2 linked regions of the Pelodiscus sinensis genome follow. The protein of the gene in region 2 binds, or shares a complex with, the protein of the main gene of each other region. Links are inferred from orthologs where the notes say so. Each region holds a gene or a part of one and is shown on either strand. Other genes may lie near its edges. The genes, in order: AMH and AMHR2.

Region 1 (11,316 bases), about 27 Mb from region 2:
TTCCCCTCCCCGCCAGGTTGCTGCCTCTGACAGGCAGCGGGGGGGCAGAAGCCAGTGCTAGGAGAAGCTGGTTTAAAAGCTGGTTCCCTCAGCATGTCTCCACGGTGCCACCTCCTCCCACCCGCTGCTCCCATCAGAGGCAGTGGGGAAGAGGAGAAGGGGAGCAGCCCCTGTCCACAGGAGCCCCAGCAGGGAGCTGGGCCCCCGCCCTGGTGGACAGGGGCTGCTGCCACCAAGCAGCCCCCTGTTCACAGCAGCCTGAGCTGGACACTGCGAACAAGCGCTGCTGGACTCCGTGCAAGCCGGGAATGAGCAGTCCTGGCTCGTGCGGGTCTGGGAGGCTGCGCCTCCGCATTTTAAAGGCAGCTCTCACTACATTTCAAATGCAGAGCTGCAGCGTGGGCATCTCCCAGAGCCAGCACGAGCCAGGACTGCTGAGTCCCAATTTGAGCCAGCTCCTGGAGCTCCCCTTGCCGTGGCTCTGCAGAGCAGCCCGTCGACTAGTCGTGTCATTATCGACCACACGAGGAGCCAGATCACCACAATTTAACATCCCTAACCTGGTGAAGCAAAGCGGGGGGACCCTGATGGGGCGGCTGTGTGTGACTCAACCGATTTCAAAACCAGACTGACATCCTCTCACTGGACCCCTGCGTAACAAAGACCAAGGAATTCCACCGACCCCCGCCACAAGCACACCGCTGCTCGAAGGGACGCGGCGCCGCTAAAGGACTGTGCTCGCACACGCACAGACTCCGGGGCTCTCAAGCCAGCACTAAGTGTTATATATTTAAATACGCTGGTGGAGGGGGCTGAGGAGAAGGTTCACCCAGTGTAACTGACCTAGTTCTCTGCCGGGTCAAACCCTGCCCGTGCTAGAACGCTGCTGGAAAGAGATCCCGCAGACACCGACGTGGCTCCCTGGGGGACCATGGTCCCAGGCCACCCCCCTGCAGCTTAACATTGCCCTTTCCCCATTCCCACCCAAGGGTAAGCATGAAGCTATCTACTTCTGCACAGACCCATTCACATGAGCCTGCACGAGTCCTCATGCAGTCTATTGCAAGGGAGATGCGGCAGGGTTTCTACACAGGCAAGCTCCCCATGGCAGCAAGGGCTCCGATGTGCTTCATGAACAGGGCTGGAGACATTACGCAAGAGACCAATACCAGCGGGGAAAGAACAAGAGGGAATTGTTCTCAGCAATCAGCTTTCTCAAGGGTTTTATGCCACCCTATGAACCAGGGCACTGCTAAGAACGGGGACGAACGCGGTTACCCACATATACCCTTTCTCTTCCACAGAGAGAACAGGGTTTCACCTTAGCCTTTGGATTTTACTGTAAGCATTGAAGAACTGAGTGAGCCAGGAGTGCAGCAAGGGCCGAGGGGGAGAGCATTAACCCAGCTATGCTGGGAGCCCCAGCGGCCAACAGGATGTTGCCAGGGACGGATGGGGACAGGGACACGCACAAGGTGATCTCTACCGGAATGGGAAGCTTATGATGCTGAGTGGGTTATTTCTACTCTCCGGGGGAGTTGGTCCCTCTCCCCCGTTTCGTCTCCTACCGACCCCCATCTTTGGTGGCAAAGCAGGATTTGCCTGGTAACGCCCCACTTCCCATGGGATCTGAGTATCTCTCTCAACCCCAGTCACTACTGGGTTCTCTTGGCTGACTCTTCCGAGGATTTAACCGAGCACTTACCTTCCTCAAGATGCAGCACCAGGAACCTGCTCTCCCCTGGCTCAGCCAAGTGGGCATGGATGTGCTTCAGAGACAGGAGAGCAGAATGGGTCTCCCCGGCAGGACAGATCCCAAAGGTCTGCAGCTGGCCTTGATCCCAGCTGGCATGTCTCACCAGCTTCAGGAAATCGCTTTCGTAGCTGGTAAGGACCCCCACAACTTCCAAAAGACTCTGGTCCAAGCCGTACCGCCTGCTCATTCTCACCGTGCACACAGGCCCTTCCAGCCTGTCAGGGAGCCAAGCAGGGAGGCTGGATTCTAACCCCACAACTGGGGAAACTGCCTCCTCAGGGAAGAGCTGGGGGCATTTTGCTCCCTTGGCATAATCTCCTGGCTGGTCACTCTTCAAGAGGGGATGAGGAACAGCGGTGGCCTTGGATGTCAATGCCATGAAGCTGGGTTCTGCTCCCTCATACGTGCTCTCATCTTCCTTTTCTTCCAGCTCCTTCGGGAAGGTTATTTCCAGTTCTTCAGCCTGCCAGAGTCCTCCCCCGATGCCTCTCTTCCTAGGCACAGCAGCAGATGGGAGGAACAGCAGCAGGTACTGCAAAGCGACTCCTAGCACGGGCTTCATGTTCTGGCGCGGAGCAGCTCTAACCTCCGAGGCTAGAGTTACTAAGTGCATCCCTCGAAACACTTATGTATGGGAAGGACTGCACCTCCCATTCAAACAAAGCGACCTTGAGTTGACAATGCACAACACACCTCCCCTGAGAAACATTCAGAGGCCAGTGTGCTGTAAAGGAGGGAGGGCCGATTCAAAGGAGTTTTTCTGCTCTATTTTTGGCTTTGCATCCAGGGCTTGGAAACATTATAAAATTGAAGCTGTTTACCTTATTTGTAGGGATGCTTGTCCTTGACTTAAGAAGTTTTTAAGAAGGGTGGGGAGAAAATGGCCAGTCTGGCTTGAATCTTCACTGGGATTGGCAGACATTTCTCTTAGGGCTTGAAACATCTGGGGGAAGGAACTGCTTAGAGTGGAAGGAATGGGTAGAAGTAAGGTAATGGGAAGAAATGGAGAGAAGTTAGATCAATCAGTTCTCTCGGCTGGGAAGCGTCCCATGATTACTGGGAGCACCAGCTCTTCCCCTCTGCAGACACATTAGAGAGGTCATCTCATGAAGACTCATATTATGCTGTTCCAACTCCTCTGGAAAATTCAGTGCTTGGTGTAAAAATATTTCATTCTACTGGAGCATCAGGGAAGGGTCTCACGAGGGAATTCATGGAAGGCTCAGACCTTGAGGCAAAAACCGTCCTGGATTCGATAAAAGAGGGAACAATCCTGCCATGGTCTGTCCTGCTGGGTCACCAAAGCTACTTTCCTTTCCTGCTTTCACTCATCCCAACAGGGCCAAATGGCTAGTGCGGTCCCCACACCGATTCCACGGCAATGTGATGCCCACAGGTAAATGGATCTTCAAAACCACATTCAACACACAGCCAGACCTTTCTGCTGGCTCACAGGGCCCGTGCGCATGACTCAAGAGGTAAATGCAGTACCAGGAATCTCTGTCTGCAGAGGTGCTGGAGACCAAGCTGTGTGAATAGACCAAAGGGCTTACTTGCTCCGAGTTCTCTCCTACCGCAAGACTCACAAGCGATAGAGCCTCCATCCCATCTCAGGGTAAGATCTCAACCGGGTCGACAGACTCAAGCCACAGAGGCTCTTAAGACGCTGGCTTCAGAGAACTGCCTGAGCACCAGCTCACCTGAACAGAAATCCCTCTTCCTGTTGTTCCACACGTTACACTTGCACAATTAGCCAATTTTCATTTTCAAAATACTAGTTTGTGGCTTTATCTTGAGGAATCCTACTTCACTCTGACCTTGCCCAGCCGCGTCTGACACGTCACGTACATTTGCAGGGAGATTCATCGGGCAGCCTCGGCATTGGGTATCTAAGATGCAGCAAGAGACAGCGCATGGGGCAAGAATCCATTTCTGCCACGTGTTTGTTGAGATGCACATGGCTAGATCTAAACCTAGCTCTGAATCCGGACCCCTCTGTGCATGTTCAATATATGGAAATACATGATCAAATTCTGGAGCGGGTGAGACAGCCAAGGGAAAGTCAGCTGTCATGGAACCCCAGAAAGTGTCCCCGTGAGGAAGGATGGGGGAGTTCTCCCACAGGGCAATGTAGAGCAGTGGGCACCAACCAGTTGATCGGGATCTATTGGTAGATCTTGGAGCCTGTCAGATGATTCTTACTGGTTTGGCCAGGAGGCTATCAAGTGCCAGCACCTTCAGCTGCCTCTCTCCCCACTGCTGCTCATCTCCTGCCCTTTGCCTTGGAGCTGCCCCTCCCTCTGGGATCCTCCTGCTCTCTGTGCAGGGCAGGGGAGCGAGAGCGCACTGATGTCAGGGTGCCCACTCTCATCCTATCTCCACAGAGCAGAGAGGGGGCACAACAGGACTTGGGAGGGAGCTTGCTGGCTGCTTTTGGGAGTGGTTCAGAGCCACAGCCCCACCAACCAGGAGCCACGAGCAGTGCCCATCTGCAGCTCACATCCCAAACTCCTACCCCAGTCGTGAACCCCCTCTTGTACCCCAAGGCTCTGCCCTAGGCTCGAGTCCTGAGGGCAGGGGACTAGACTTGATGACCTCTCAAGGTTCCTTCCAGTTCTATGAGATAGGTATATCCCTGCATCCAAATGCCATCCCAGAGCCTGCACCTAGAACCCCTTCCTGCCCCAAGAGCAGCTCAGAGCCTCTCTCACATTCCAGATCCCTTAATCCAAGACCGGAGCCTGCACTCCAACCATCTGCCCCAGCCTGGCGAAAGTGAGTGAGGATGGGCAAGAGAGGGAGGATGGAGTGAGCGGGGCAGGGTCTTAGAGAAGGTGCAGGAAGGAGGTGGGACAAGGGTATTTGTATCTGAGGTAGACCTTGGATTGCACTTACATTTAAAAAGCGATCTCAAAAAGGTAGACCCCTGATGTAGAACATGGGACAGCAAAAACCAACATAGGGAGAAGCATTGTGTCATGAGTCTGAGCTGATGTTAGATTTCTAGAGAGTATAGTCATTGTCCCCTTGAGTAATGATAACTCTGAATATATACCACTAAGGACAGCAAGGGCTGACAGTGTGTTACTAGCTACACATTTTCTTGGGCCTTTTAACACTACTAATGTGGAAACACAGGCAATGGTTTTCACCCAAAGAGAAAGACGTGGATACAGAAAACAATGTAGAAAGCCTTTTAATGAACCTACAGGATTCAGGCAACGCTATTAGCATATAAAAAGGACAAAGATTTCCCTCTGAGCAAATAATGGTGTATAATTAAAACACAAATCAAAAGGAGTCCACTGGGGAAAGTGTCCAGGAGGAGCTTTTCAGTTGGAAGGAGGAGGGGGGGGAATAGTTCCTGGCCCCTCCGTGGGAAGAGGTGGTCTCATCATGGGGGGCAGAGGAGCAGGGGGATGTACCCCAGGAGCTGGGGGCAGCTGAGGTGGTGCTGGGGGCGGTACAGGACCGGAGGGAGGCATGGGTGGCAAAGTCAAGCCTCCTGGAGGAGGTGGCGGCGGCGGCATGGAGTCCGGCAGAGGTGGTCGTGGGGGCAAGCCATTCATCAGTGGGGGTGGTGGAGGCCTCTTCACGGTTGGGGGTCCAGGAGGGATGCTCTGGGGAACTGGGGGCTTCTCCATTTTGAAATGGAACTGAAGGAAGAACTAGGGCAAAAAAAAAAAAAAAAAAAAAAAAAGGGACAGATTCAAATCAGCAAAGCAGCTTGGGAACCTCGCAAGGTGGCTGCCCTACCATGTGGTCTCTGGTACGCCAAGAAATATTGTGAACCACTGAAACATGATGTGTAATGCTTCCAACCCCAGGTGTCACCTCACATCGCGCTCAGCCTCTCCATCAACAGACAACCTCGGGTTCGCACCAAATGCAGTCCCACTTCTAATTCTAGAGTAGCCCGAAATATGCTCTTTGGCTTCTGAGTCAGTTACCAAGTTAACATCTCACCCTTATGTATAGCACCCCATCCCTGCTCAACTGTGCCTACTGCACACACACCCTGGACACAGCACCACACAAGTGTCTGGCGCACGGTTCCCCAAACACGTTAGGAACATGTTGCTGCTACGTATTGATCCACTGGTGCTGTGCTGCGGCTAAGTCCGTGCATTCCCTGTGGAAAGGTCTGGCTGCTGGACTAGCCACTGACGCGGCAGCAATCCAGGAAGATTTTCACTCAGCTTCATGTTTTATTTTTAAGCAAACGTAAATGCTGGTGACCGCTCAGGAGACAGATTGTGTATGTACAGCAGCAGCTGTAGAAGCTTCTTCCCAATGCACTTCCACCTGACCTGGAGGGACCCCTTGTTTGGGTGAGAAAGAAGATCAGTCTCAACGACCCCTTCACATCTCCACCTCCCTGCCGAGAATGCCAATAAGGGAGCTTACTTTTGGGTGATTGACACTTGCCCTTTTAGTAACTCAGATGAGCCAAGGAAGATCATGTCACGTGCCAAACACCCACGGAGAACGTTAGACAGAAAACATTCTGTCTCACATTGGCCTGGCAACCCCAGGGTTGTGGCTTCAAGGCCCAGCCACCCAGGAACACCACCACCAGCTGCCCCATTAAGAAGGCCGGATAAGGGACGTCCTGCAGGTAGGGAGGCGGGCTGGGTTTTGAAGTGGCCTAGGGCATTGGCCTGAGGACCCCAGGATTGTGGGTTCAAGCATCAAGGAAAGGAGGGCTCCAGCACACATCTGTGTCCAGCGTTCATAGGAAACTGAACCAATGTAATCAATCGGCCAGACCCACCACCAACCCACCCTGGAAATCGGAGTTCAGAATGTGGGCTTGTGAAATGCTCAGCATCAAGGCTCCACAGTGAAGGAGCATGAAGTGCCAGAACTACAAGATAATCAGAGTTAAGAATGCCTTGGGAATGGAGGTTGTTTGTAACACTGAACAAAACATTACAGTTGCTCTTTGAAAAGTTTACTACCAAACACTGACTTACTACAGCTCTGAAACTTTACTTTGCAGAAGAAAAACGCTGCTTTGCCTTTACTTTCTAGTAGTTTACGTTTAACACAGAACTATATGGTATTTACATTTCTGTGTCATGCTTCTGGTTCCAAACAATGCGTGTGGCTGACTGGTCAGTTTCTACCTCTGGTGTTCATAACTGAGGTTCTACCGAAGTATTTTGGTAACCACTGGCCTACGCTCCTCCACATTGTCCTCTTATCTTTTCACTCCCTCCCAAAGAAGTGAGTCTCCAGCTACCTGTTTGGTTTCTCTGTTCCAGTGAGTCCAAAACTTTCCTTCTGCTTTGTCAATTTCCCTGCTTGGCACCTGTAACAAAAGCAGTAAAGAGCTATTATTAGCACCACCAGATTAGCTCCTTAGCACTAGAGCGGCAAGATAAGCACCGCTATTCCAGGCTTGTGTGAGATGTGCTATCAGGCCTTAATAGACAGAGGGGAGGAATTAAGACACTTTCATATCTCTCAAGGGCAAGCTTATCGTCTGAAACTGGCTCCTCTTAACACCTGCACAAAAAGGATGCAGGAGCAGGGCCCAAAGGGCTCCTTTCTGTGCTGGAGGCAGAGAATTCCTTGGCTGCCCAGACGCTCTCGGCCACATGTCTCTATTCATCCTGAAGGGTGGTTCAGGAGTTGTCCTCTTTCAACACTTCCAACCAAGCTCCCTGTACACAAAGGCCCAACCATGCTCCCCATCCACATAGGCGCAATGGAATAGGTGGACACTGCTCTATTGTCACTGAATGCACAGGGCAGGGAGAGATCAACATGCAGGAGGCCAGAGTGGGTCATTTCAGTCTTACCATCCACGAGACACATTCCCAGCCAATGATTGGCCAATAAACTGTACCTTGAAAGCAATGGTTTCATAGGGCTCCGCCGCCATCAAGAGGTATTGCCAGCGTCTGTCTGGGGGCTCAATCCTTTGCTCGTATGCAGACATGAACCGGTGCCTAGGCATGATGGTTTCAGCGATCTCTGGGTAATCGATCTGTGGGGGGATATTGCAGCATTAGGTACATACTCAATCCTCCCCCCTTCTGCTAGCGGAAAACACCCCCAGCCATAAAGAGGGGCCAGTCCGTGTCCTTTGTATGGTGAAATTAGTACATTTACTGCTGGTGAAAGAAACCAGCCTTGGTCACGGATCTCTCCACTTACAACATGGTGAGGAGCAGTGCGCCGGCACCGAAAGCTTCCCCCAGCACCACTGCCCATGTGCCACAGCACAGCCCTACCAAGACCACCCCTAGGAACAAGAGGACCGTTCCTCAGCCCGTGTCAAGAACATTCTGATGGCTGTCTGTAATTGTGTGGGAACATGTCTACCAGGAACCGAGCCAAAACCCTCAACGACAGCCTCTGTTCTAATCCATCCTGCTAGGAACTTGCAGCCGAACAATTCCTTTACAAGCACCACTCAGCGGTATGCAAGGTTCACAGTCGCTTACCTGGAAGAGAAGGCTCTGTTGCCCCATTTCTGGATCTCTCTGTTTGGTCACTGTGAAAGGACAATGAACGAGTTCAATACCGTAGTGTTTCCAACCTGTGCACCACAGACTATGTGTAAGAGGTTCACAGAAGGTTACTATTACCATAGAAAAGTGATTTTCAATCCAGGGTCTGCACATTATGTCTAAGATTTCCAAAGGGTTCTGCACCGCCATTCAAAACTTTTTAGGGGTCCACAAATGAAAAAAGGCTGAAAACCGCTGTAATACAGTATTGCAGCTGGAGTGACACTAATCCTGTTTTAGGAATTGATAGTACTGCACAGAGCACCATCCCAAAGAAAACAAAAACTCTGACCGTTTACACAGTTGTAACACTACATTATTTGAAAGCCTTTATGCCAAGTGTTCAGCACCACTGAAATGCAGCAACTTCTGGGGCAGAGGGAGAGAACGGACACACAGAACATGGCAAAATAGGGGAAGATAGGGGACATAAAATGGAAGAAAAAGGAAGTTTTGGCCAAGAACACAGTGACAAAGCCAGTTTCATGAAGCGTGCCATAACAATTTTTTAAATAAAAATGGGTGAGTAAATTTGAGATTACAAACCTTGTTAGTGACACTCAGCATTTATGGAAAGAAAGGGGGGAAATCATACTCATGGGAGCAGTACTATAGTAGGTGGCAGAGGAGAGCCAGAATACATCCCATGCTGTCCACCTGTTGCATCACTGATCATGACTACCTATGCATTGCTGAGTCACTCTACAGGCAAACAAAACAATGCAAGGAGAGGGGGACGCGGCCCTAGAATTTATTTATAACCATATTGGCTGAAAAGCTTATTTACAACTAATATCCACAGCACTGCATTTCAAGCAAGAACCAGGTTGGTACCCTGACAGAAAAGACATGCCAGTCACTTGTCACCTTTGTAACCTGGTCGTCCAATTTTCACAAACTTTTTCACTTCCACTTTGACTTTTTCTGGTGCAGGCTGGGCAGGGGCTTCCTTAGCTTCCTTGGCAGCCCTGCGAGCTCTGAAATCAGGACAGAAGGTTGTCATCTAGATGCACTCAGAAATGCGATCCTTTCGATTAAGAGTACTCTATACAGCCTTGAAACCCTGCTAGCCGTCTCTTGCCAACTCCTGCCCTGACAGAGAACTACAGTCCCTATAGCTGTGAATTTGAACCCACTGCTACAACAATGCTAAACCAAGAGCTTCCCGTCTGACATTCCACTTAGCACATGAAGAAAAACTACTTGATGGGTTGCACCCAAGAAGAGAGGGAGGCTTAAAAGCCAAACTGGACTGTTTGATCTCATGCCTACAGCAAAACTAAGTTTGCACTCTGATTTATAATGTAAAACAAATAAATCCAGGATGAAGTGTTTGTTAAAACAGATACCCACTAATTTAACATGTCCAGAGACTGGAAAACACTTCCATTAAGAACTTACAAATTGGTCTGATGCTTTTTCCCCTGGGTGTGTGCTAAATAGCTTCCCTGCAACAGAACAAGACAAGAAAATTAAATATGACAGAAAGCTGCGAAGTATCCAGATGTCACAGAAGAGTTAAGCTGCCTTCTGAAGGAAGCTCTCAGACACGTCAATATTTTAACTCTTAGGGTACGTCTACACTTGCACCCGAGTTCGAACTAGGGATACAAATGTAGGCGACCGAAATGGCTAACGAAGCGGGGATTTAAATATCTTGCGCTTCACTAGCATAATCTCGCCTGCGCGCTATTCCAATTGCCAGCTGATTCGAACCAGGAAGTGCGCTCCGGGCCGCGTTAGTTCAAATCAAACCCCTTAGTTCAAACTGATGTTACTCCTCAAAAAATGAGGAGTAACGTTAGTTTGAACCAAAGGGTTTGTTTTGAATTAACGCACTTCCTGGTTTGAATCAGCTGGCAAAGAGAATAGCACGCAGGCGAGATTATGCTAATGAAGCGCGGGATATTTAAATTCCCGCTTCATTAGCCATTTTGGTCCCCTATATTTGCATCCGTAATTCGAACTAGGGTGCAAGTGTAGACGTACCCTTACAGCACAAAGGAAAAATGTATTCATCCTCATAAGTGCACTGAGGTACGGGAAAATGTACACTTTTTTCAGGGTCTCATCCATTCCCTCCACCAACCCAGATCTCAACCACCAATCACTTCCTCTCTTCCCCCACCCCCAAAAAAAAAACCCTGACACAAGCCTCCACATCCTGACCTTTCACAACCCACACTGGGAGATCTCTTGCCCCTGAGAGCCAACCGCAATTCATATACTAATGCCAGTCCTTAAAAAGATGCTTCTAGTTAAAAATTAAAAAGAAACAAAAAGAACATCTTTAAGGTACTTATACATTAGATGCATTATTAAAGGTGCAATAATATGAAATGACAAATTTATTGTGTTTCAGTTTCTCAACCTTCACTTTCTAGGCTGCTTCCACTAGTTTTGTGCTGCAATGGATTTTAAGTGCAATTCAGGGTTTTTGGCCTAATCAAATCTGTCCACTGACTTTTTTAATGTTTAAATCACAGATACATTTATAGTGGTTTGAGGTGCTGTACAAACCTGTTGTCACAAAGCAAAATTTTATGTCCTCCAAAACAAAAACAATAGCCAGTTTGCAGGAGTTATCCCCTTGGAAATGAGACCACCTCCAAAGGGTTAAATGCGAAGGCATGTTCAACTCACCTCATTGTTGTGCAGTGTTAGGCAAAGTTTACATTCATAAGAACCCAAGTGATTTTTCATAAAGTAAGGATCCTGAGGAGAGGATAAGAGAACAAGAACTGAATGAGAGAGGTCACATGCTCATATCAGCAACCTGCACTACACTGAATTTACAGACAAAGGTAATTTGTGTATATACAAGTCAAAATCATTCCTGGATTGGAGAGAGGAATCTTTAAGCTCATTGATTTCAGTTATGGAATGAACATTCCTTTCAAATGGATAACACCACAATTTATTTGGCAAGCATCAGCTGCATGTTCTATACCATACAAATGACAATAGGAAAACAAGGTCCTATAAGGTATAAAGTAAATGTATTGTTTATATGGTCAAATGACAGTGTTTCAGTTCAAT
Region 2 (11,299 bases):
TGTGGGAAAGGGTTGACTGACACTCCAGTTGTGGCTTTATACCCTAGTCATCTCTTGTCGAAGCTGAACAGCCCAGATCATAGAACACTAGAACTGGAAGAGACCTTGAGAGATCAAGTCCTGTCCCCTGCCCTCATGGCAGGGCCAAGCACCATCTCAACCTTTAAATTCTTATAAAGTGCCCCTTTAAAAAATACCCCCAGTACCTACAGTTTTCAGATGCAACGGTAGAAAAAAATTGTAACATTTGTTTTAATAACTTAATCGTAGCCGGGCCAGGGGGGGGAGGGTGTGTGAAATTCTTGGGTGTAAAAAGTACAAAGATGATAAAGCGCTGTGAATCTCAAAACAAAAATTCCATTTTCTCCAAATTTCAGTTGTTGACGTTCTCTCCCCCCCCCCCCCCCTCCCGACTTCTCTCAGCTGAGCTAGACCATCCCAGACAGGTGTCTACCCAACCTGCTCTTCAATATCTCCAGGGATGGAGATTCCACAACCCCATTAGGCAATTTAGTCCAGTGTTTCCCCACCCTGACAGGCAGGAGGTTTTTCCTAATGTCCAACCTAAACCTCCCTTGCAGTTTCAGCCCGTTGCTTCCTGGCCTGTCCTCAGAGGCCAAGGGGAACAATTTTTCTCCCTCCTCTTTGTGACGCCCTTTTAGATACTTGAAACCTGCTGTCATGTCTCCTCTCAGCCTTCTCCTTTCCCAACTAAACCAGCCCAGTTCCTTCAGCCTCCCCTCACTGCTCCTGTTCTCTGGACCTTTCATCATTCTCGTTGCTCTTCTCTGGACCCTCCCCAATTTCTCCACATCTTTCTTGAAATGTGGCGCCCAGAACTGGACACAACACTCCAGCTGAGGCCTGGTCAGTGCAGAGCAGAGTAGGGATGTGATAGTGTAGTCCAGTGGTTCCCTATCTTTCTGAGCCTGGGGACCAGTAAACCCATTCACAAGCTTTTGGAGGATGGGTAACATGTATTTGCATATTCATTAAGCAAATGAGGAATATGCAAATAAATGGTGACGCTGGCCCGACCTGTCTGGCGGGTTGTTCTGTGCCCCAATCCCGGTCACTTTATCGGCTGGCACTGGCTCCCCCAGCTGCGTCCGGCGCTGGGCGTTCTGCGTCGGTGCGCACGGCACCCGGCCTTCTCCCTGGGCCCTAGCGCCCGCCGGATCTAGCGCCCGCCGCCTGGGAGCATGCCCGGCAGAGGCAGTGCGGGGTGCTGCTACCCCATCTCACAAATGAATAGGATCGTGCGCGAAAAGTTTCCTAAGGACTGGTACTGGGCCGTGGGCCTCACTTTGGGAAACGCGGGTGCAGTCAATTCTATAGACCACACGCGGTTCCCTCCCCCGCCACCTTGCCAGTAAATGTGTGAGCGTGCCGGCCAGCAGCCCAGCTCAGTCCCAGCTCGCACTGGGTCCAGGACAACCCCCACCCCCCCACTGGGTCCAGGACACCCGCCCCAGCGGCTCTGCATTTCAAGTGTATGCGGAGCCAGGCGGACAGGCAGCTCGTCTCAGTCCCGTCTCGCACTGGGACCCTCTTAGACGGGCTGCTTTTGCCTCTGTAGCAGAGACAGCCGTGCAGGGCGGCAGCCAGCCGGTCCGTGAGGGGGGCTGGTTTTTAAACTGGCTCCCCTTGTGGGCCAGCTCCCGCCTGGCGCCCCGCACTGCTGCCTGTGATACAGGGTGCACTGGCTGCCGGCCCCGCCCGTGGGGACTGGAATTCCCGGGTTCCTCAGTTATTCAATTAACCGACGCCATGGCTGGAGCAGAGCGGCAGAGACGCCTGTCTTGCTCCCAACAGGCCTGCTCGTCAGTCCTCTCTGCAGCGGCGTCGTGCTGTTGACTCCTATTTAGCTGGTCCCCTCGATCCCTTCCTGTGTGACGGGCTGTTCCTTCCTAAGGGCAGCACTTGGCATTTGTCCTCAAACGTCATCCTGTTGCCCTCAGCCCATTTCTGCAGAGTGTCCAGATCATTGTGAATTCTCCCCGCACCTCCGAAGCGCTCGCAGCCCCTCCCAGCTTGGGATCATCTGCAGACTTCATAAGCGTCCTGTGTGTGCCGATCCCTCAATGGCTGATGAAGACACTGAACAGACCCCTGCGCAACCCCCCTTGTTCTGCCCTTGCAGCAGGACTGGGAGCCGTTCAGAACGACTGCGCGCTTCGCCCCAGTCCTGCACCACCTGGCTGCCCCGGCTCAGTTGTTTGCCTAGTTTATCGATAAGGTCATGTGAGACTCAGATGCCTTCCTAAAGTCCAGGTATCCCCCCCGCTCCCTTATCCACCCGGCGTGCCGGCCTGTCTCAAAGCGGGCCCGTGGGTCTGAGTGATTTGTGCTTCACGAATCCATGCTTGACTCCCCGCTCCCGAAGCCGTGGCGACTCCCGCGCCCTTCTTGGAGCCTTTTCCAGTGCCCCTACCTTCTTTGAACCGGCCCCGGGAGGCAGGCAGGCTGGGGTGCTCGTGATGCCAATAGGAGATTTCCCAGCGGCTTCCGGAGCCGGCGGAGCAGGCCTGCTCTCCGCCCACGTCTAGCAAAACCCAGCTCAGGTTTCCTGAGGCCTCTAGATTATGGGCGTAGGGCCCCCCGTCCCAAATACTGCCCACCCAAGTCCCCTGGAGCGTCCCCGTGCGAGGTGGCCGGGCTTGAGCGTCTGGGGCAGGCCAAATCCGGACTGCAGCCCCGGGAGCTGAGTGCCCGGACCCTGGCCAGTTGCAGCTGTCCAGCTGAGCAGGTACCCCGTGGAGACGTTCCCTGGGGTTGGGCTGCACGTTTCCTCCAGTGACTCAGCACGCCTTGCTGGCGGTGGGGGTCGCAGTGCGTCGGCCCCGGGGGGCTGCTGCGCGTTAGCAAAGGGGGGGCGAGCGCGCTCCGGCCTGTGGCTGGGAATCGCACCTGGCAACTGGCAGAGCAAATGAAGTGGGGCAAACAACACGCGCCCCCTTCCCGCGACCCTCCGAGACGCTGTTCGGGGGACATTCTGGTGGCCTCGCGGCCGCACTCATGGACAGGGGAACAGCCACCAGAAAAGTGGGTGGGTGCGGTGTGGAGTGGGGTGTGTGGTCATCGTTGTGAGTGTGTGTAGTTGTGTGGTGGGGGTGTATGGTCACTGTTGTGGGTGTGGTCGGGGGGTGTAGTTGTGTGGTGGGGGTGTATGGTCACGGTTGTGGGAGTGGTCGGGGGGGTGTAGTTGTGTGGTGGGGGTGTATGGTCACTGTTGTGGGAGTGGTCGGGGTGTGTGTGTGTAGTTGTGTGGTGGGGGTGTATGGTCACTGTTGTGGGTGTGGTCGGGGGGGTGTAGTTGTGTGGTGGGGGTGTATGGTCACTGTTGTGGGTGTGGTCGGGGGGGTGTAGTTGTGTGGTGGGGCTGTGTGGTCACGGTTGTGGGTGTGGTCGGGGGGTGTAGTTGTGTGGTGGGGCTGTGTGGTCACGGTTGTGGGTGTGGTCGGGGGGTGTAGTTGTGTGGTGGGGCTGTGTGGTCATGGTTGTGGGTGTGGTCGGGGTGTGTGTGTGTAGTTGTCGTGTGTGTGGCTGCGGTGGGGGGGTTCTCCGGGGGGGGTGTCTTAGCTAGGCATGGGGCACAGATGCTAACCCCTGAGGCTGGGGGCCGGGAGCCGCGGCGCTAGCCGCCCTGTGGAAATGGAAGCCGAGGCGCTGGGCCGGAGTCGGCCCCGTTGGCAGGGACCCCAGGGCGCGGGGCCGGGCTGTTTCAGCGCTGTGGGAGCGTGTGGTGGAGCCCGGGCCGTGCTGCGGCTCCTCCGCTCGGCCGGGCGCTGGGTGGGGCTGCCCCCGGCCCTGCCGCAGGGAGGAATTCTCCCAAAGCCTCCCCCGTCCGGCTCCCACCTGGCCTCAGCCCCTCTGCCCCGGGTCCGCTCCTGCGCCCCCCGCCCGTGCCGGGTCACCTGCTGCCCACCCCCACTGGCGCCAGGCCCCCCGCTCGTGGCTGGGGTGTGGGAGGGTCGCGGGGTCTGGCTCTTGATTTTTACACCGTCGGGGGCCTAGGAGTAGGGTGACCCAAGGGAAAATGGGCCAGCCCGTGGGGCTGGCTCGCTCCCCCATGGGGCTGGCCCCACCTGCTGGCCCAAGATGGCTGCTGCTCAACGTTGCTGCTGGTCTTTGGAGCCCGTCCTCCCCCTCAGACCCCGCAGCCCCACCCAGCGCCCGGATGAGCCACAGCACGGCCCGGGCTCCACCGCACGCTCCCACGGTGCTGAAACAGCCCGGCCCCGCGCCCTGGGGTCCCTGCTGACGGGGCCGGCTCCGGCCCAGCGCCTCGGACTGAAGGTCGTGCTGAGACTAAAGGTTGGTGGAGCTGGGTCCCTGTGTTGGGCCGGGCCGGGTCTGGGCACCGCTCAGGGCAAATTGCTCAAAACCAGGGCTCCTTACTGCCCCTGACTGGGGCCCTTCCAAACAGGCCACACGCCGGTCCCACCGAGCGCTCCAGCTGCCAATCCAGCCGGCTGGAACCTCACGAGCAAAACCCCCCGGACACCCCAGCTCTCCCTGTGCCCCAATCCGCCCCGGGGCCCGCACAGGTGGGGGGCTATAGAACCAACCTCACCCACCCCCAACGGCTCCTCCCCCTCCCAGAGAACCAGCCCCAGGTCCCGGTCAATTTGCGCTGTGGATCGTACCCACAAGGGCGCGCTGGGCCCGTCCTTAGCATCTAAGAGCCGAAGGTTCATTCATAAAAGAAGGAAAAGGCGGCGAGTGCGAAGGGGAACACGTCACACGCACCAGTCGCCCAGCTCTCGGTGCAGGCTCTCGGCAGAGCTGTTCCAAACCGCCAGCTTAGACGGCTCTGGGGCCCGTCCTATGGCAGGAGGGGTCGACAATCCTTCCCGGCTCTGTCCCTCGCGAGGCTGCATCTGGGAACAGGAGCAGAATTGAAGGCCGGATGGAGTCGCCTCATGGCACTTTCTATCCATCCCGGGTACCAGTGACCTGTCCCCGTGTCCCGTGTCGGCAGCCACTGGATACTGGCTGCTTTGCAGGTCTCCGGAGCATCCCTCAGGCGTGTTGGGCACCTTGACAGCCACTGTCCCTGGAGCTGCGCTAATTAGCAGAGTCCCTGACTGAACAGTTGCTCTTTACAACAGGCCGTCCAGGCCCACGGCTCCGTCTCAGGCGGAGAACATCGCCAGGACCAGCCCGTCTCCATATCCCCACAGGAGACGTCCCGCCGGTACGTGCGTAGCAGACACAGAACCGGTAGGACACGCGCTTTCATTGGACGCCTCGCATGGCCCCTTTGTACAGACCTTGGGGTGCAGCAGTGATCTGCCTGATCCCCTTAAAATCCAGTCATGTGACAGGCCTACATTCCAGAATACGGGTGGAGCGCGGCCCCGGCCCATGGACAGTGGGGACCGGAACTTTCCCGCCCAAATGGGGTGCCTGGTCCCCTCCCCGCACAGCAACAGAGGCTGGCAGGGTGCCGCTGGTCTGGCCCACAGCAGGGCAGCAGGTCTTTTCCGCAGCTTCCACAGGGCCCTTTTGGCCAGGGAAGGCTTAGCCAGTGCTGGCTGAAATGCAGCTGCCTCTGGGGTGGGGCGCAGGCGCTGGTCACAGTTCAAGCCCCCAGGCCCTGCTCCTCAGAGACGAAGCCCGATCCAGCAGCCACTCGGGCGGGGGGCATTTGGGGATAATGACACCCGCTGGCCGTTGTGTTGGGGCAGGAGCCCCACGGACGTACCCGAGACCTGGCCTGGGCTCACAAGGAAGGCTCTGGGCCGGAGACACGCCCTGGGGCTGTTTGCCACCGGACCGGCGCCCGGAGGCTCCGAGCGGCCAGAGTGGCTAAGCCCCGGGCCGGGCCAGGTCTGGGCACCACTCAGGGCATCTGCCCAGGGCGAGTTGCTCGAAACTCAGGGCTCCGTACAGCCCCAGCCTGGGGACCTTCCCAAACAGGCCACAGGCCGGGCCCACCGAGCGCTCCAGCTGCCAGTCCGGCCGGCAGGAACCTCACGAGCAAAACCCCCCGGACACCCCAGCTCCTCCTATGCCCCAACCAGCCCCGGGCCCCCACACAGGTGCGGGGTTAGAACCCAACCTCACCTCCCCCGAACGGGTTCTTCCGGTCCCAAGAAACCAGCCACCGGTCCCGGTCAATGTACACTCTGGATCTTCCCCGCAAGAGCACGCTGGGCCCGTCCTTCAGAATCTGCACTCTACAGGCTCTTAGCAGAGATGTTAGAAACTGCTCTTAACCGTCTCTGGGGCGCATCCTATGTCAGGACGGGGCCACGGTTCTTCCTGGCTCGTGGTTCCCTGCAAGGCTGCATCTGGGATCAGGAGCCGAACTCAAGACCAGGTGGAGGAGCCACAAGGCACTTCTATACCCCCCTGGGCAGAGCTGGTCACTGCAAGTCGCATGGTCCATGGACCTATCCCCGTGTCCCAGGCCAGCAACCGTTCTCCTGGCCGGCTCGCAGGTCTCCGGATGTTCCCCGGGTGGGTCTCTGGCACTCGGAGCTCTCGTGTCCCTGGAGCCCTGCTAATTAGCACGGCCGCTGGCCTGGTGCTGCCTCCCACAGACCCTTCCGGCGTCCCCGTGGAGCACACGCTTATCACTCCGCACACACCTCGTACGAGCACGTGCAGCGCACACCCAGAATCAGTAGGACACAAGCATTCACGTGACACCTCGCACGGCCCCTTTGTGCCGACTTTTGGGGCACCCCCCCGGGTGCAGCCGTGATCTTTAGAATCCAGTAACGTGACCGACGGAGCCCCGCGGGCTGCAGGGGCTGGGGCAGAGCGGGCCCCACGGGGGGGCTGGGGCAGAGCGGGGCCCACGGGGGGGCAGGCCCGGAGCAGGGCATGGGGGAGTGGCGCCCTCCTTCCCCGCGCTCCTTTTCCTGCCCCTGGCCGCTGACAGCGTCTGGGCCCCATCCCACGCGCCGCGCCGGCCAAGTCCTTCCCGGGGGAGGGCCGGCCGGGCTCACACGCGCGCTCCAGGTGCTGGGAGAAGGACCCCGGCTGGATGGGGCAAGCATGCCCCAGCCCTTCCGAGTGCTGCACGGCCTGGGCCTCTGGCTGAGCCTGGGGCTGCTGGGTAAGGGCCGGGCAGGGCCCCGTGCTCTCCTGGCGCCCCATGGCAGTGGGCGGGGGCCCCCCAAACCCGCCCGACGCAGCCTCCTGTGTCTCCCCAGGCGCCCGGAGCAGCAACCGGAGCTGCGTCTTCTACGAGCCGCCCCACCAGGTGCGGGGCACCATGCGGCACTGGGGGCGCCTGCTGGGGGGCGCCGAGCGCGGCACCATCCTCTGCCTGGCCAGCCAGTGCTGCTTTGGGATCTGGAACGACAGCCAGGGCGGGCTGCAGGCTGTGATGCAAGGTGAGGGGCGGGGAGGGGGCGCCGCCGGCTGGGGCTGTCCGGGCGCCCGGGGGCAGGGGCCGTTTCGGCTCCAGGAGGGGAGCGGGCTCTGGGACGAGGAGCTGGGCGCTGGCTGGGCGGGCTAGTGGTCGGGGCTGGGGCTGGGTGTCTGGACTCCTGGGGAGTAAGGCCTAGTGGTCGGAGCTTTTCCCTGCTCTTGTGTAGCCCCTTCCCACTTGTCTAGAAGTGGCGGGTGGGTTTGGTTTACAGCCCTGGGAAGTGGCCATGGAGGGGGGGCACCTGCCCCCTGCTGCGGCTGGCTCAGGACCCCCCCAGTGGCTGCAGGGTCAATAGGCGCCTGCATGGCCGACACTGGGGACCTCTGTCCCTGACGGCGCCGTCTGTCTGTCTGTGTCTGTCTGTGTGTGTGTCTGTGTCTGTGTGTCTGTCTGTGTGTGTGTCTGTCTGTGTCTGTGTGTGTGTGTGTCTGTCTGTGTGTGTGTCTGTCTGTCTGTCTGTCTGTCTGCGGGAGGCCAGGCTGCTGGGACAGCGACCGGGACGACTGCGACTCCCCGGCCTGCGAACCCAGCCCCATCCACACCTACGGGGTCACCCTGCAGCGCTGCCTGTGCCGCTCTGACCTCTGCAACGCTGCCAGCCGGCTGGGCGCCCCTGCCCCCCCGCAAGGTGAGCGGGCCCCACGGCCGGGGGGGGGCGGGCCCCTCAGTGTTTGCCACGGGGAAGGGGGCTGGGAGCAGACCCCACAGGGCCGGGGGCTCGCGCCGTCTCCCTGCTGCTGCCTGGCTCAGCGGCGAACCCGGGTCGGGAACCCGGAGTCCCAGGCCGGGTCTTGGGGCGACGGGCCCGGGCAGGTGACAGCAGCGCGTCTCCTGTGGGGATGGAGCTGCAGAGCGGGGGAGGTGGGGGGGGCAGGACCGAGGGGCACAGGCAGGGCCGGGGGAAGCTCGCCCAGACTCTGCCTGGCTCCGAGCCCGACACATTCACAGGGAGGAAAAAACAGAGGCAGACACAAGATAAGTAGAAATCGTGTTGCCCCGTCGGGTCTGCCCTGCTCCCCCGCTGCCCCCGGGCTGTCCCCATCCCCCCCCCCCCGTGTCTGGCCCTGCTCCCCCGCTGCCCCTGAGCTGTCCCCATCCCCCCCCCCCGTGTCTGGCCCTGCTCCCCCGCTGCCCCCGGGCTGTCCCCATCCCCCCCCCCCGTGTCTGGCCCTGCTCCCCCGCTGCCCCTGGGCTGTTCCCATCCCCCCCCCCCGTGTCTGGCCCTGCTCCCCCGCTGCCCCCGGGCTGTCCCCATCCCCCCCCCCGTGTCTGGCCCTGCTCCCCCGCTGCCCCCGGGCTGTCCCCATCCCCCCCCCCCGTGTCTGGCCCTGCTCCCCCGCTGCCCCCGGGCTGTCCCCATCCCCCCCCCCGTGTCTGGCCCTGCTCCCCCGCTGCCCCCGGGCTGTCCCCATCCCCCCCCCCCGTGTCTGGCCCTGCTCCCCCGCTGCCCCCGGGCTGTCCCCATCCCCCCCCCCCGTGTCTGGCCCTGCTCCCCCGCTGCCCCCGGGCTGTCCCCATCCCCGCCCCGTGTCTGGCCCTGCTCCCCCGCTGCCCCCGGGCTGTCCCCATCCCCCCCCCCCGTGTCTGGCCCTGCTCCCCCGCTGCCCCCGGGCTGTCCCCATCCCCCCCCCCCGTGTCTGGCCCTGCTCCCCCGCTGCCCCCGGGCTGTCCCCATCCCCCCCCGTGTCTGGCCCTGCTCCCCCGCTGCCCCCGGGCTGTCCCCATCCCCGCCCTGTGTCTGGCCCTGCTCCCCCGCTGCCCCTGGTCTGTCCCCATCCCCCCCCCCGTGTCTGGCCCTGCTCCCCCGCTGCCCCCGGGCTGTCCCCATCTCCCCCCCGTGTCTGGCCCTGCTCCCCCGCTGCCCCTGGTCTGTCCCCATCCCCCCCCCCGTGTCTGGCCCTGCTCCCCCACTGCCCCTGGTCTGTCCCCATCCCCCCCCCCCGTGTCTGGCCCTGCTCCCCCACTGTCCCGGTCTGTCCCCATCTCCCCACCCCCCCGTGTCTGGCCCTGCTCCTCCACTGCCCCCCAGTCTGTCACCATCTCCCCCCCGTGTCTGGCCCTGCTCCCCTACTGTCTCCCGGGCTGTCCCCATCTCCCCCCCCCGTGTCTGGCCCTGCTCCCCCGCTGCCCCCGGGCTGTCCCCATCTTTCCCCCCCCGTGTCTGGCCCTGCTCCCCCACTGCCCCTGTCTGCTCCCCTCCCCGTGCAGCCCCTCTTGCCCCCCCATGTTTGGCCCTGCTCCCCCACTGCCCCCGGTCTGTCCCCATCTCCCCCCTGTGTCTGGCCCTGCTCCCCCGCTGCCCCCGGGCTGTCCCCATCTCCCCCCCCCCGTGTCTGGCCCTGCTCCCCTCCCTGATCTGTCTCCATCCCCTCTGCAAACTCTCCCGGCTGGGGGAGGGACGGTCCAGCATGGGCCCAGCCCGGCAGGTGCGTGGTGCTGGGGGAGCCCCGCTATCTGGCGCTCTGGCCTGGACGGCGGCCCGCGGACCTTGGGAAAGGAGCCAGGCAGGGGAGCGCCGGGCCAGAGAGCTGAGTCACTCTGATAAGCCGCTGGGAGGCAGCGGGACCCAGCGCTCACACGGGGCTGGGCTGGGGCACCGGGGCCGACCCAACAGTTGCCAGGGTCCCGCCTTTCCCCCGAGGGGCTGCTGGGCCTTCTGGGGGGGTGGGGACGGGGGGAGAGCCGGGCGCCTGGGTTCCCTGCCCGACCCTGAAGGGAGAGCGGAGTCTAGTAGTTAGAGCAAACAGGGCCAGGGAGAGCCAGGCGCCCGGGTTCCCTGCCCGGCCCTGAAGGGAGAGCGGAGTCTAGTAGTTAGAGCAAACGGGGCCAGGGAGAGCCAGGCGCCTGGGTTCTCTGCCCGGCCCTGAAGGGAGAGCGGAGTCTAGTAGTTAGAGCAAACGGGGCCAGGGAGAGCCAGGCGCCTGGGTTCTCTGCCCGGCCCTGAAGGGAGAGCGGAGTCTAGTAGTTAGAGCAAACAGGGCCAGGGAGAGCCAGGCGCCTGGGTTCTCTGCCCGGCCCTGAAGGGAGAGCGGAGTCTAGTAGTTAGAGCAAACAGGGCCAGGGAGAGCCAGGCGCCCGGGTTCCCTGCCCGGCCCTGAAGGGAGAGCGGAGTCTAGTAGTTAGAGCAAACAGGGCCAGGGAGAGCCAGGCGCCCGGGTTCCCTGCCCGGCCCTGAAGGGAGAGCGGAGTCTAGTAGTTAGAGCAAACAGGGCCAGGGAGAGCCAGGCGCCCGGGTTCCCTGCCCGGCCCTGAAGGGAGAGCGGAGTCTAGTAGTTAGAGCAAACAGGGCCAGGGAGAGCCAGGCGCCCGGGTTCCCTGCCCGGCCCTGAAGGGAGAGCGGAGTCTAGTAGTTAGAGCAAACGGGGCCAGGGAGAGCCAGGCGCCTGGGTTCTCTGCCCGGCCCTGAAGGGAGAGCGGAGTCTAGTAGTTAGAGCAAACAGGGCCAGGGAGAGCCAGGCGCCTGGGTTCTCTGCCCGGCCCTGAAGGGAGAGCGGAGTCTAGTAGTTAGAGCAAACAGGGCCAGGGAGAGCCAGGCGCCCGGGTTCCCTGCCCGGCCCTGAAGGGAGAGCGGAGTCTAGTAGTTAGAGCAAACAGGGCCAGGGAGAGCCAGGCGCCCGGGTTCCCTGCCCGGCCCTGAAGGGAGAGCGGAGTCTAGTAGTTAGAGCAAACAGGGCCAGGGAGAGCCAGGCGCCTGGGTTCCCTGCCCGGCCCTGAAGGGAGAGCGGAGTCTAGTAGTTAGAGCAAACAGGGCCAGGGAGAGCCAGGCGCCTGGGTTCCCTGCCTGGCCACAAACAGGCTCCGAAGCAAGAAAGGAAATGGGACCCCCCCCCCCCCGTGCCTCCGCGATGTCGCCTCCTGGTTGGACCCCCAGGTCCCCTCCTCTCAGGCTGGAGGGAGACCCCAGGAGCC

The links.
Region 1: the proteins of AMHR2 (region 2) and AMH are in contact, whole or in part, in a crystal structure (PDB 7L0J), measured with the Homo sapiens proteins. The link is inferred for Pelodiscus sinensis from reciprocal best matches to the Homo sapiens genes AMHR2 and AMH. Residues at the interface, in NP_065434.1 of Homo sapiens: Gly31, Val32, Arg33, Gly34, Ser35, Thr36, Thr38, Leu39, Phe62, Ile64, Glu75, Met76, Arg80, Asp81, Ser82, Glu84, Pro85, Ser95, Arg97, Ala98, Pro100, Ser101, Leu106, Thr108; in NP_000470.3 of Homo sapiens: Leu471, Arg472, Glu474, Val477, Leu478, Ile479, Pro480, Glu481, Thr482, Tyr483, Gln484, Lys534, Leu535, Ile537, Leu539, Glu542, Arg543, Ile544, Ser545, Ala546.

What each region holds. Positions count from the first base shown.
Region 1 is NC_134729.1:27,222,992-27,234,307, forward strand, and holds the start of AMH (muellerian-inhibiting factor), read right to left. Parts: upstream 4,814-11,316; 5' UTR 2,370-4,813; coding exon 1,706-2,369; intron 1-1,705. Other genes in the region: SF3A2 (splicing factor 3A subunit 2), read right to left, coding at 5,089-5,424, 7,002-7,070, 7,611-7,751, 8,212-8,261, 9,145-9,254, 9,679-9,725, 10,921-10,992. UniProt on the Homo sapiens protein: Plays an important role in several reproductive functions. Induces Muellerian duct regression during male fetal sexual differentiation. Also plays a role in Leydig cell differentiation and function.
Region 2 is NC_134729.1:318,810-330,108, forward strand, and holds the start of AMHR2 (anti-Muellerian hormone type-2 receptor), read left to right. Parts: upstream 1-6,822; 5' UTR 6,823-6,837; coding exon 6,838-7,072; intron 7,073-7,169; coding exon 7,170-7,352; intron 7,353-7,868; coding exon 7,869-8,018; intron 8,019-11,299. UniProt on the Homo sapiens protein: On ligand binding, forms a receptor complex consisting of two type II and two type I transmembrane serine/threonine kinases.